3 linked regions of the Lepisosteus oculatus genome follow. The protein of the gene in region 1 purifies or fractionates together with the protein of each later gene. This does not show direct contact. Links are inferred from orthologs where the notes say so. Each region holds a gene or a part of one and is shown in the gene's direction. Other genes may lie near its edges. The genes, in order: smarca1, pole3 and cecr2.

What was found.
Region 2: the proteins of smarca1 (region 1) and pole3 purify together in Homo sapiens (affinity purification with mass spectrometry; 3 studies listed by BioGRID and IntAct, with this or other methods). This does not show direct contact. The link is inferred for Lepisosteus oculatus from reciprocal best matches to the Homo sapiens genes SMARCA1 and POLE3.
Region 3: the proteins of smarca1 (region 1) and cecr2 purify together in Homo sapiens (affinity purification with mass spectrometry; 3 studies listed by BioGRID and IntAct, with this or other methods). This does not show direct contact. The link is inferred for Lepisosteus oculatus from reciprocal best matches to the Homo sapiens genes SMARCA1 and CECR2.

Annotation. Positions count from the first base shown.
Region 1 is NC_090703.1:42,610,602-42,614,354, reverse strand, and holds the start of smarca1 (probable global transcription activator SNF2L1), read left to right. Parts: upstream 1-1,129; 5' UTR 1,130-1,236; coding exon 1,237-1,293; intron 1,294-2,303; coding exon 2,304-2,393; intron 2,394-2,886; coding exon 2,887-3,053; intron 3,054-3,337; coding exon 3,338-3,438; intron 3,439-3,669; coding exon 3,670-3,753.
Region 2 is NC_090719.1:3,256,304-3,260,056, forward strand, and holds the start of pole3 (DNA polymerase epsilon subunit 3), read left to right. Parts: upstream 1-1,063; 5' UTR 1,064-1,205; intron 1,206-1,403; 5' UTR 1,404-1,435; coding exon 1,436-1,501; intron 1,502-2,055; coding exon 2,056-2,141; intron 2,142-2,685; coding exon 2,686-2,804; intron 2,805-3,223; coding exon 3,224-3,399; 3' UTR 3,400-3,753. Other genes in the region: uncharacterized protein C9orf43 homolog, read right to left, coding at 154-304. UniProt on the Homo sapiens protein: Accessory component of the DNA polymerase epsilon complex. Participates in DNA repair and in chromosomal DNA replication.
Region 3 is NC_090702.1:8,898,158-8,901,910, forward strand, and holds the start of cecr2 (chromatin remodeling regulator CECR2), read left to right. Parts: upstream 1-1,200; 5' UTR 1,201-1,497; coding exon 1,498-1,617; intron 1,618-3,753. UniProt on the Homo sapiens protein: Regulatory subunit of the ATP-dependent CERF-1 and CERF-5 ISWI chromatin remodeling complexes, which form ordered nucleosome arrays on chromatin and facilitate access to DNA during DNA-templated processes such as DNA replication, transcription, and repair.

The DNA of each region.
Region 1 (3,753 bases):
AGCTGATGTACTGTATATGGCTCATGAAAAATGGTGAGGAAACTAAAGATAGTAAGTAGTAGAAGCCTTAAGGTTTTAGTGTGGTCTGGACAACTACAGTACACTATTTGCTTAAGGTTTTGATTAAAGCAAAGGTGACATAAATGATTCTCACTAAACTTCAGACCTGCATAGATTACAGCAGATTTCAAATTTCTAACTTCAATACATTAGGCTTTTGTGACATCTAGTGGTCTGTTTAACATTTTTCCTGCGCTAAGAAAACTGTGAAATTATTATTCGATAGACGTATGACCTTATCCAGGGCGATTTACAGGAATAAATGCAAGTACTATTTAAATGTCGGTACAATGATCACTGCAAGAACATTACAAAGGTGTCAAATAATCCAATAGTATAATAACAGAGCTAATACAAATCTAAAAGAATCTAACACACATTGAATACAACAAAAACAAAAATTATTAGCATTAAGTGCTAATTCTATGTCAATATTAATAAAATATATTAATGAGACTGGGCGAGAGTATGTTAAAGGACCTGTTATTTTTTCAATAATTCTTAACTGATTAAACGTCGTTGTGTACGAGTTTTTTTTATTATACTCCTGCTTTAAATTCAAAATATCTCGACACTGCAGTGGTACGGATCACTGCTACTTCGTTCTTCCAGTAGGACATATTTATTGAACAAACCGAATATTCTCACATTAATTCGGTAACAGCTTCAGTTTCTCCCTTTCCACTAATATGTATACTACGTTTACTATTTTGGCATTTGACACATCTTGGCATAGCTCTTTAGATATATTGTATTAAGATTTGTTGTATCAAAACAACTACGACTCCAAGAAATAAAATACAAATAACTAGCGCTTAAAAAGTAAAATCACACAGGGCGCAAGCTCATTTGAAAGATCACAAGTACAGTATCAACACCAGTTCTGTGTTTTAAAATAGATGACATTATGTGTGTGCATTTTTTAAAATACTAGGCTAAGCCTTTAGAATCGAAATCCAACTCAACGTCTGGAAATATATTTCCTTTCTGTCCGAATTTTCTAGTCAAAACCGGACTAACTTCTCGCGGTGTTACGTTGCCATAACTCCGCGAGATTTAATTATATGTATAAGGGGGCGGATGCTACGAAATGTACAGTCAGATGGTGACGTATTTTATTATTTTAACTTACAGTAAAAATCAAAATTGAGTCAAGATTAAACAAGTATAGGAGCAATGTCAGACGAAGAGATTCCGTCAACATCCCGGGAGCCTGAACCTGATTCGGAGGAGGTGAGGGAAGGATAATGTGCAGTATTTTTCAGTAAGCTTCTGTGTAAAAGAAGTAGACATTGCAGAACCGAAGTTTGCTGTTTTTTTTTTTTGCTTCGTTTTGCATTTGGGGAATATGGCGGGAAGGAAGCACGCAACATCTGCAGACAGATGTCAGTCTGTATTTTAGAAGATACAAAAACAACCTATTATATTAAAACAAAGCATGACTGACCACCTAACCCCTACAGTTAGTATAGTAGCCCAGGTACCGATCAAAAGAAATACAGGTGGGCGTGAAAATTGAAAACGACACTCACTGCGTCTTGCAGAGAAGCTGGTACCTAATACAGTACCTCAAGAATACAGTAAAATGGCACTGCGAGAGAAAAAGCCTGCTGTCGAATAGGAAACCGAATAGGTGTTGTGTTGTATAATTATTATACCTGTTACATTAACAGACACAGTCCAGTTTTAAGTAATTGTTCTGTACATTATAAATACAGACTTAATAGCAAGTTTCCCCTTTCATAACAGTCAAAATTCACTAATGTAATAATGTACTGAAGAATGCCCCCAATGGTAATTCAGACACACAAAATATGCTGTTTCGGATGTTTTGATTACAGAATGAGACAACTATATTTATTTAATAAACTTAGGAAACATGAAAAAGCCATATACTGTATGCTGTATACAGAGAAAAACTGAGACTTATTTTACTATTCTAAAAAACTCCAATTAATATAATATACATTGATAAAATAATACTATTATTCATAAACATATAGGTCCATATACAGTTTTGGTATAAATAACTTCACCATCTAACCATGCTACTCATACTTAGGGTATTATTACTAAATTAATAGTACATTACTTCATTTATATTGAAAGATGTGCAGTTTATTTTAAATTTTAAAACTTATATCCAATACACAAACAAAGCAACTAAAATAGTCAAAGTGACAAAATGTCATTTACATACAGTAATCATTACATTTATCATTTGATGTACTCTGTGCCTTTAGAAAGAGGATCCACCTTTTCAACTCAAACCTCCCCCCAAACTGGTAACAAAAGTAGAGGCAGACGTTGACCCTGAATATGAGGAAAAGAGGGTAAGTAATTCAATGCACATACTGTATCATGCATTATTATTTTGCTGTCTGATATATTATTAACAATTTTCACCCTTAATTGTGTGACCTGTTCTATAATACCATTCAAAAGAAACATGTATTTCAATTCTAGATTTGATGTTAGCTGTTATAGATCAAAATTGCAATTGCATTGTAATTTATTCAGATTTAGTTTCTAAGATTACAATAATAAATGATGAGACATGGGAACTCTACTGAACATGTACAGAACATATTTCACTTGTGTTGGTGAAATGTTCAAAAGAAAAGATTAATGGTTCCTCTCTCATTGTAAGTTTCAAATTTTGGTTTAATGCACTGCTTTTGTTTTAAACTGGTAATAGTAAACAAGTAAACTTTAACTTACGTGCAAATAAGAAACACATGCAGAAATATACTTCAGGTATATTTCAGATATTACAAACTACACACAGGATTTAAAGTATTTTTTTCTTCTCTCTTTTTCCTTCAGAAAACAGATCGGGCTAACAGATTTGAATTCTTATTGAAGCAGACAGAGCTCTTTGCACATTTTATTCAGCCAGCAGCACAGAAGTCTCCTACATCTCCACTGAAAGTGAAGCTGGGGAGACCTCGCATGAAGAAGGATGAAAAACAAAATCTGCTCTCCGTGGGGGAGTAAGTCATCAATAAGATTGTTATTTGAAATAATTTGTACCACTTAATACAGACATTAGTACCATCTGCATTTATATTTCAGTGCTTACTTGTATCACGATTCCACTGTGTGTATGAGTGCAGTGTACCACTGTGGTCTCCGTCTGTATTATTTAAATGGTAATGAAATACAGTTCTTCCCATTAAACCAATATTTGATGTTGTTTTATTTTTCACTTTAAATTGCCTGGGAATACATATATATTAAATATTAAATGGTTTTTTTTTGTGTGTGTAAATTTCAGTAATCGTCATAGACGCACTGAGCAAGAAGAGGATGAGGAGTTGCTGTCAGAGAGCCGAAAGACATCAAACGTCCTGGTCAGATTTGAAGAATCACCATCTTGTAAGGCACAAAAAAATATTGAATTAAGTAATTTTACTTGAGCTGTCATGATCTTTTATAGCTTGGCCAATACATTCAATTTCATGATGCTTACAGATAAAAAAGCTACCATTTTAATGGCTATATTTAGCAGGCGTATCCAGTAATAGATTTTGTATTAAGACATTTCTAATTGTAATGCTTTGCTAAATGCTCAGATTTTATTGTTATTTCAAATATTTTGTTTTCCAGATGTTAAAAATGGAGCACTGAGGGATTACCAAATTCGAGGCCTGAACTGGATGATATCCCTATATGAAAATGGAATAAATGGAA
Region 2 (3,753 bases), on another chromosome or scaffold:
GCTGGTGAAGGTGATACACTGGCGTCTTTCTTAAAGGATACTTGGATCGCTTAGCTCCTGAAAAACCAATGAGCCAGATGAGCTGGGCCAAATGGATTTCTCTTCTTTGTAAGTGTTATCGTGAGGGGAAAAGGATGGATTCTCGTAAAGTACCTTCTTGTGAGACCGTGGGTGCAGTCCTCGCCTTGGTGTACCTGGGGAAGCCTCTATAAACTCGCCTCTCTGCTTCCCAGCAGCAGGGATGCTGACACAGCGCCAGGAAACAATGCGTCTCGTCCAGAATCAGCCCGCCCGGGTCCTCCATTGCGGTCTTCAAATCAACAGGGCTAGGATCGAAATATCAGAACTTAAAGCGGCAGGCATCCTTACTGCTGGTGGACACCAGCGTGCATTGTTTCTCAAGTCTAGGTTTTTGAAACACTAAGCGCACGGAGGTTGTTTGTTTCGTCAGAACCCTTTTAATTATTCCAGAACTTTAATTCGCGAAATCTACAGAACCGTGGTTTTAGAGTGCAAGGGCAGGCCACGACTGTTTTAATAAACTCTTATCTGATGCGTTTACTTCCAAATTAAAAAAAAAAAAGGACAGAGAATGATCTGAGCTGGTTTTCTCTTCACGAGTTCAAGCGTGCTTGTAAAATATTCTTGTTTTGAATTCTTCCCATTTACAACTATCAACTAATGCCTCCACATATAGACCCAGAAACGACATTAAACAAGGCAAACTCAACAGCATACAAAGTTATGTATTTTTAAACAGTTAATGTATTTGTTTTACCTCAAGCCGGGCAAGTAGTCAGCTAGTAATCTTGTTGCCTGGCAACAAGACGCTTTCTTTACTGAACATGCGCAAGTTGCCCCGACAGCCAGAGTGCATTGTGGGTTTCACGCTCGGTCATACAATAAAAATAAATTCTAAATACATTCTGCTGTTTTATCTGTGTTGTGGTGACTATGTGGGCAAACAAAATAGTAAGAATACATATGACTATTTTTCCATGTGTCCGCTAGAAGTTTTATTACTGTTATTGACGTCGCCAAGGGGTGGGAGGTCAAAGGTGAAAGGGCGTTCGTGGTTTGTCAGATTCAGATTCACGCGGGCTGTTGATTTTAAAACTGTAGTAAAAGTTTCGACCGAACCCCGCTGTTAAAACACTTGGATCGGAATTAACGTGGGAACAAACGTACCTCACCGGGACCTGGAGGTAAAGGTCGTCTGTACTGTAGTTAAATCGTGAGAAACCCGGTTACCCTTCTTAGGGCTGTGGGCGCGTTGTGCTTGGCCACCCCGGGCGGCCCTGACGAGACGTCAGGCCGCCTTCACCCGTTCCTGCTCCCGGGGTGTCCAAACCGATGCCACCGCCGGCCCGTGTGATCTAATCTGACTGGGTTTGCGTCCGCAGATAACGGCTCGTCTTTCGGGAACAGAGGCGGAATGGCTGAGCGGCCAGAGGACCTGAATTTGCCCAACGCTGTGATAACGCGTATTATCAAGGAAGCGGTATGACACTGTGCGAGGTTATTGGCTCGGTTGCTGGGCTTTCCTTTTTATCTCAACAGCCTGGAATCGCTGGTATACAGATTTTCAAAAAGGGTGCCCTTCCGAAGTAAAACGAAAATTTAAAGGAACAACTGTCAGGTGTTCTCTTAACTTTCTCTGCTAGTTGGTGGGTTTTTTTTGCATATCTGGGGGTGTTCCCACAGGATTTGGGCGCAAATGAATCAGAGACGAATGTCTTAAATCAGTTAACAGCCACTAACCACCTGTACAGATGGCAACAGCCGGAAAGGAAAGGTGGGGAAAAATCGGTCTAGGGGCGAGACGCAGCTTTCTGAATGTAGAGCAGCAGAATGAGCCTCTACATAATACAGAGCTGTAAAATACACCGAGTAATCAAGGTAGACAGTTGAACAGTAGACTTAGGGAACTGTGCTGGTTTTTACAGGAATAGACAGGTGCATCCCTGTTCAATAGTATAAAGTGTAAAAAAAAAGGCGATCTTAACTAATGAAACCCCTTACCTTGCTTGAGCACCTTTTTTTTTTCCCCTGCAGCTCCCCGATGGAGTGAACATATCCAAAGAGGCCAGGAGAGCCATCTCGCAGGCTGCCAGTGTCTTTGTCCTGTATGCCACATCATGGTGAGGATGGCGCGCACAGCATTTCCAGGGCACTGGATCCGACCCGCAGAAGTGACCAGTCCCTGTATGAAGCTTTTCGATTATTGTAATGGTAGTGTAACAGGGGCAGAGCAAGATGCATGAACAGTATACGTACTGTTGCATGTCTAGGTCTATTTGTCTTTAATGTCTATGTTAAGTGTTGTTTTGTGTGGCCATATCAAAGACAAATTCCCACCGGTTGGGATGGACAATTAAGTTAGATCTTAGATCTTTTGACAAGCAAAAAGCAGGGGGAAAATAGTTATATTTTACTTAATTTAAAAATTACTTAAGGAAAAAAAACACTGATTTGTGCCATGTGCTCACTGTTCAAAACAAAGGAGGGGAGAATGGTGCACTTGTTTTTTAAAGTGAAGGTCTTCGTTGGAACAAAAAGGAGAAGCAGGTTGTATATGCGATGAATTAATACAAAGACCCGTCTCGACTTGTCGATCCCTCACCGGAGAGACTGCAGGACCCTAACAGCCCTTTTTCCTGTCTCCCTGTGATTAATGCTACCCAGTGCAAACAACTTTGCCATGAAAGCCAAGAGGAAGACTCTGAACGCGGGCGACGTGCTGGCGGCCATGGAGGAGATGGAGTTTGAGCGCTTCCTCCAGCCACTGAAGGAGTCGTTGGAAGGTGAGAAGGAGGGGGTGGACTAGGAGAGGAGTGCATGCGGGTGAAGGGGCAGAGGGCGAGAGACCAACGACACAACCGACACCGCAGAATAAATCAAAGAGATCTGGGAGAGATTCAGTCTCTGCAGGAATCCCATAGACTGGCATCTCTTTTTCCTTGGCCAGCTTGCACACAAACGTCATGGTTTTGCGATTGTAACTTCATCAACGCCTGGCTAACAAAGGATGATTTTCCCTTCGATTGAATTGCTAGTCAAGCACAGGCTATATTCTGCTTTTTATACAGTAGGCGCTAAAGCGAGTGATCCGTGTCCCCGGATGGAAGTCGTCACAGTGACAGGGGAAAATGCATTTACTGCGCAGAGTTAAACGGTCGCCCGTTCACCGGTCTCACGGTCCTGGGGTCTCTCTGCTCCGCAGCGTACAAGAAGGGCCAGCGGGGGAAGAAGGAGGCCTCGGAGCAGAAGCGCAAAGACAAGGAGAAGAGGAACGATGGCGAGGACCCCGACAAGAGCCGGGAGGAGGAGAACGAAGAGGAAGAGGAGGAGCGCATGGAGGAGGAGCAGGAGGGAGAGGAGGAGGAGGTGGAAAACTAAATCTCTCTTCCCACCCCACCCCCCGCCTCCTCCCCCTCCACTGCTGTCAGGACCGACTGCTGTGAAGCTTAAGTAACTTGAGAAAGAGCCAGATTGAGGATAAGTTATAATGGGCCGTAGAGTCTACTTTAAAACCCAGGCTCTTGCCAATTAACCTGGTGGCTATTGGACCACGTGTTCCATTTAGATATGCTCCATCAACCATGCAGTCGGCTCCTGCCCCATAAAAGCTCAACCATAGTTGCGTTATTGACCGTTCTCAACAGGGGCTCGTTCGATACTGCGGGTATATGTGAAATGAGCTATTGTTTTGCTTAAATTGTGCTATTTTTCGGCCCTTTATAAAGCATACTT
Region 3 (3,753 bases), on another chromosome or scaffold:
GAACTGATTTCGCTCTGAAAAATGAGTTAGAACTCAAATGTAATTTGTCAGAACAAGAAAACTCAGTAAATCGTGTATATTCGACATACAGGGTTAGTGATATGTACTGCATTGTCTGTCCTTACACGCAAAACAAGGACTGGTAAAGTTTTTCGTGGCACTTCATTGTGAATTCAATTTATACAAAAAACTGAATTTAACAGTTAAGAGATTATCATAATAGTGTTGGGTTTTTCTAGTGGAACGTTATGTACATGTCTACCTCTTTTACGCCAGGAGGCGCTGTAAATCACGAAAAAGCTGAGCGCCGTAAAAACACTAATAAATATTAAAGATGTCAGGTCAAAACATTGGTATGAATTTAGGCGAGCGCAAGAGAGGCAAAGTTAAATCCGACTCTTGCATCAAATATCTACAACAGCATTTAACGAGTTTTTTATTCATTAATATCACAGATTTGAATTTGAATCGACAACACATCTTTCTATAATACAATTCTTTAAGGACGTTAAATTTACAAAGTGCTGTGAACTGTCAAAATGGTAAGTATTTAAGTCTAAACTCAGACACGCAAATATAGAAATACTTCACGTTCTCTGTGCTCATATAAGGTTTTGACAGCAATCTAAGAAATGACTGACCTCCTTTGTCTACTAAAATACTGTGTGCGACTCGGCATACTACAGGCAACACTGCTCAACACAAAACAAAAATCTCTCAGCTCCTTTACCGACACCGAATCTTCTGCTTTTAACTTTGAAATTTTCTTTGCACTTAATGTTATGTGTTATTGTTTAATAGGGGGAGACAGGCTAGAAAGGTTTATGTTGTGGGTGTTAAACCGGTCCACACCGTAGCTACACCCCCCACACAAAAAACAGCCATCGCGGCTTATCATTGTCCGCCAAGCTTCTCCCCCTTTCCCACCCCCAGCAGTGTGTACTAAGATAATGTGATTGCGCTCCCTCTCTGGATGCTCCACGCTACAGGATACCTCCATGTGCCCACTCTGCACGAGCGCTTCTTTCAAGCTCACACAGGGACCCTTGCAAGCATTCCCTTTAACTGGGTCCTCGACTACAGAGCCGAGTCGGGGGGAAAAGTTTCACAAAACAACGCGGAGCTCGCTACACCGAAGAGGTACAATCAAGCAAAGCTTTTTTGAAAGAGGACATTTCGTTGTAGATCACAGCGGAGATGCTACTGTATAAGAACTCCAGGCTGACTGCACTCAAGGACACACTGGGTTTAACGGCAACTCCCCCTACTCTACTGAGATGGTAGCTCCCCCCCATCTGTTCCCTACTTGTGAAATTCAGATTGAAGCAGATTGTAGTACTCTCCAGGTTGCAATGGCAACTGACTTGATGCAACAACAACTTTGGTTTCTTTAAAGATAAGTTTTTTTTTTCCAAGCAAAAGAAAACTTTTAAAAAAATCGCAAGCCACCTTTTCCCCCACTGATGTAAAATAATATATACCTCGCACCTTTGGAAAATGTCCCAGGAATGTACAGTTTCTGTGGAAGAAATCCGTTCGTGGTGGGAAGTCCCTGCCATAGCTCATTTCTGCTCCTTATTCAGGACCGCTTTCAATTTACCAGACTTTGAAATTGAGGTAAGGGCGCAGTGATTTATTTCATTCATTAAGATGGTGCATTTGTTTTCCGGTTGCGTGATTTAAACTTTAACTATACCCATCCGTGTTGCCACCTCCCTTTACCATGCATGAATGAAAAGTTCTGATGTTTAAGTTCTTTGTGATCTTTGGTCATTTTCTTTGATCCCCCTTTTAAAACACATTTACCTCAAAATTGATTTTCGATTACAAGGGTATAATGGGTTCCGTCAGAACACAGAAATGTTTTACTGGTTGATTCGTGTCTTTTTAAACAGCGATAATGTGGGTTTGTTTTGATAAATAAAGTTGGATTGTGAGAAGTCCGTTTGTTTTCGTATTCTAAATGGGTTTTTCATCGCTGTGCTAAGCGACCCCAGTCCAAAAATTGTAGCACTTGTAATTTTTGCTAACAAAATGAAACTATGTTGGATCAATTGCGCGCATACGGTTTTTTAAACGAAACACTGTGATTTTATTTCAGACGGACTTCAGTTTCTTGTTGTTCGTTGAGCATGATCATGTGTGCCAGGTGACTGTAATTTCTTGCATCATTATCATCATTATTATTATGGAAAAAGTCAAGTTCACCTGTCCTTTAAGTTTTATGGTCAGTTGACCTCAATTTAAGAGCATTGTTTACGGTGCGTGAGGGTATTAATGCATCTCGTTTCCAAAAGGAGGCTTTTTCCTGCTGAGCTTGTTTTTCTCACTCGCCCATAATGCTGCTTGAAGCTTACCTAAAGTTCACCCCGATTCAAAACTGAGGGTTGAATTTGAGAAGGTGTGCATTTGTATGTGTTTGTAGTGAGATGTTTTGTTGTAATCGATCACACTTCGAGCGCCGCAAGTAGAGAGGCTGACTGTTAATGTTACGCTACATCGCGTCTAGCTGTACGAGTGGGGAGGAAGTTTAAAGGCAGTCGAGCTGCATTTTAGGTTTAGGGTTCAAAACGCTTCCAGTTAAGAACGGTTGCTTGATCCCAGAAAGATCTGAGGAAATCTGAGATTTGGGGGAAAAAACGAGGAAGGTCAACATCATGCATCAGCACCCCTCCTCCTCCTTCTCCAAATCCAAAGCATCGCTTTGTTATTGGGAAGGGGAGAAAAACACCACACGCTGTTCAGCTCAAGTGAAGTTGGCTTTCTCTCTGCTGCTTCGCCCATTGTGTGGATGATTGAAGGTCCCTTGCCGAGGAGGCTTGGTGTCAGAAACGAATTTTTGAGGTCGATTACCCCTTCCCCCCCACTAAAATGATGCGCGTAATGCCTCCGTATGTTATAAAACAAACCCAACCTGAGAAATAAAACTTGGCGAGACCGTTGAATATCGGTCGGGCTCATTTCCCTTTTCCAATTGGCTGCGTGAGTGTTATCGCAGCTGTTGTAAACTGCTGGTTTTGCGATGTCGATGAGAGGAACGTCTTAATCTAATTCCCCAAGGCTCATCCAAGGTGACGCATGACACGACTCTATAAATTTAGGGTGGTCGAAAGAAGGTGATGCGGTTAGTTAGCTGGGGTAGCTGACGATTTTGCCGTTTGCAATGGGACGGCGCCTCATGGCTTGACTGTGCAGACCCGGAGCTGAAGCCCCGGCGATCAGGAACATCTTAATCTGATCGGGAGCGCCGACTATCCAAGGTCACGTTACGTTCAGCTGTAGATCGGCCGTTCCCCGGGTTCACTGCAACCATTACAAGGCAAGTGGACTTGTGCAGAGGGCGAGTAAAAATGTCGTTGTCTCCGCTGTCGCGGGACGTTATGTCCGCTTTGATGACCCTCCCAGGCCTCGTCGCGGGGTGTCCTGTCATGTGACCCCCCTCCCAGTGAAGGAGCGTTCACTTGTCAACACGTAGGACACGGTTTGGTAACTCATACGTTTGTCGATGATAAAGGCATTGTACCTTAGCATTGTACGAAGCGGCTACCTGTTATAGTTGAGATTCTTGTGGATTTTCCTTCGTTCAACGTGGAGTAATGCGCGAGGAGGCGTGTTTCTCTGAATAATTATACATTGTCAGTTCTCCTAAGTAATGCCCGACAGTCGACTTCTTGACCAGTTATAATTATTGAGGTCAGCAAAACAAACAAAAACACAACGTGTAAGAGTTGTATTGTCCTGCGATCATTTCCA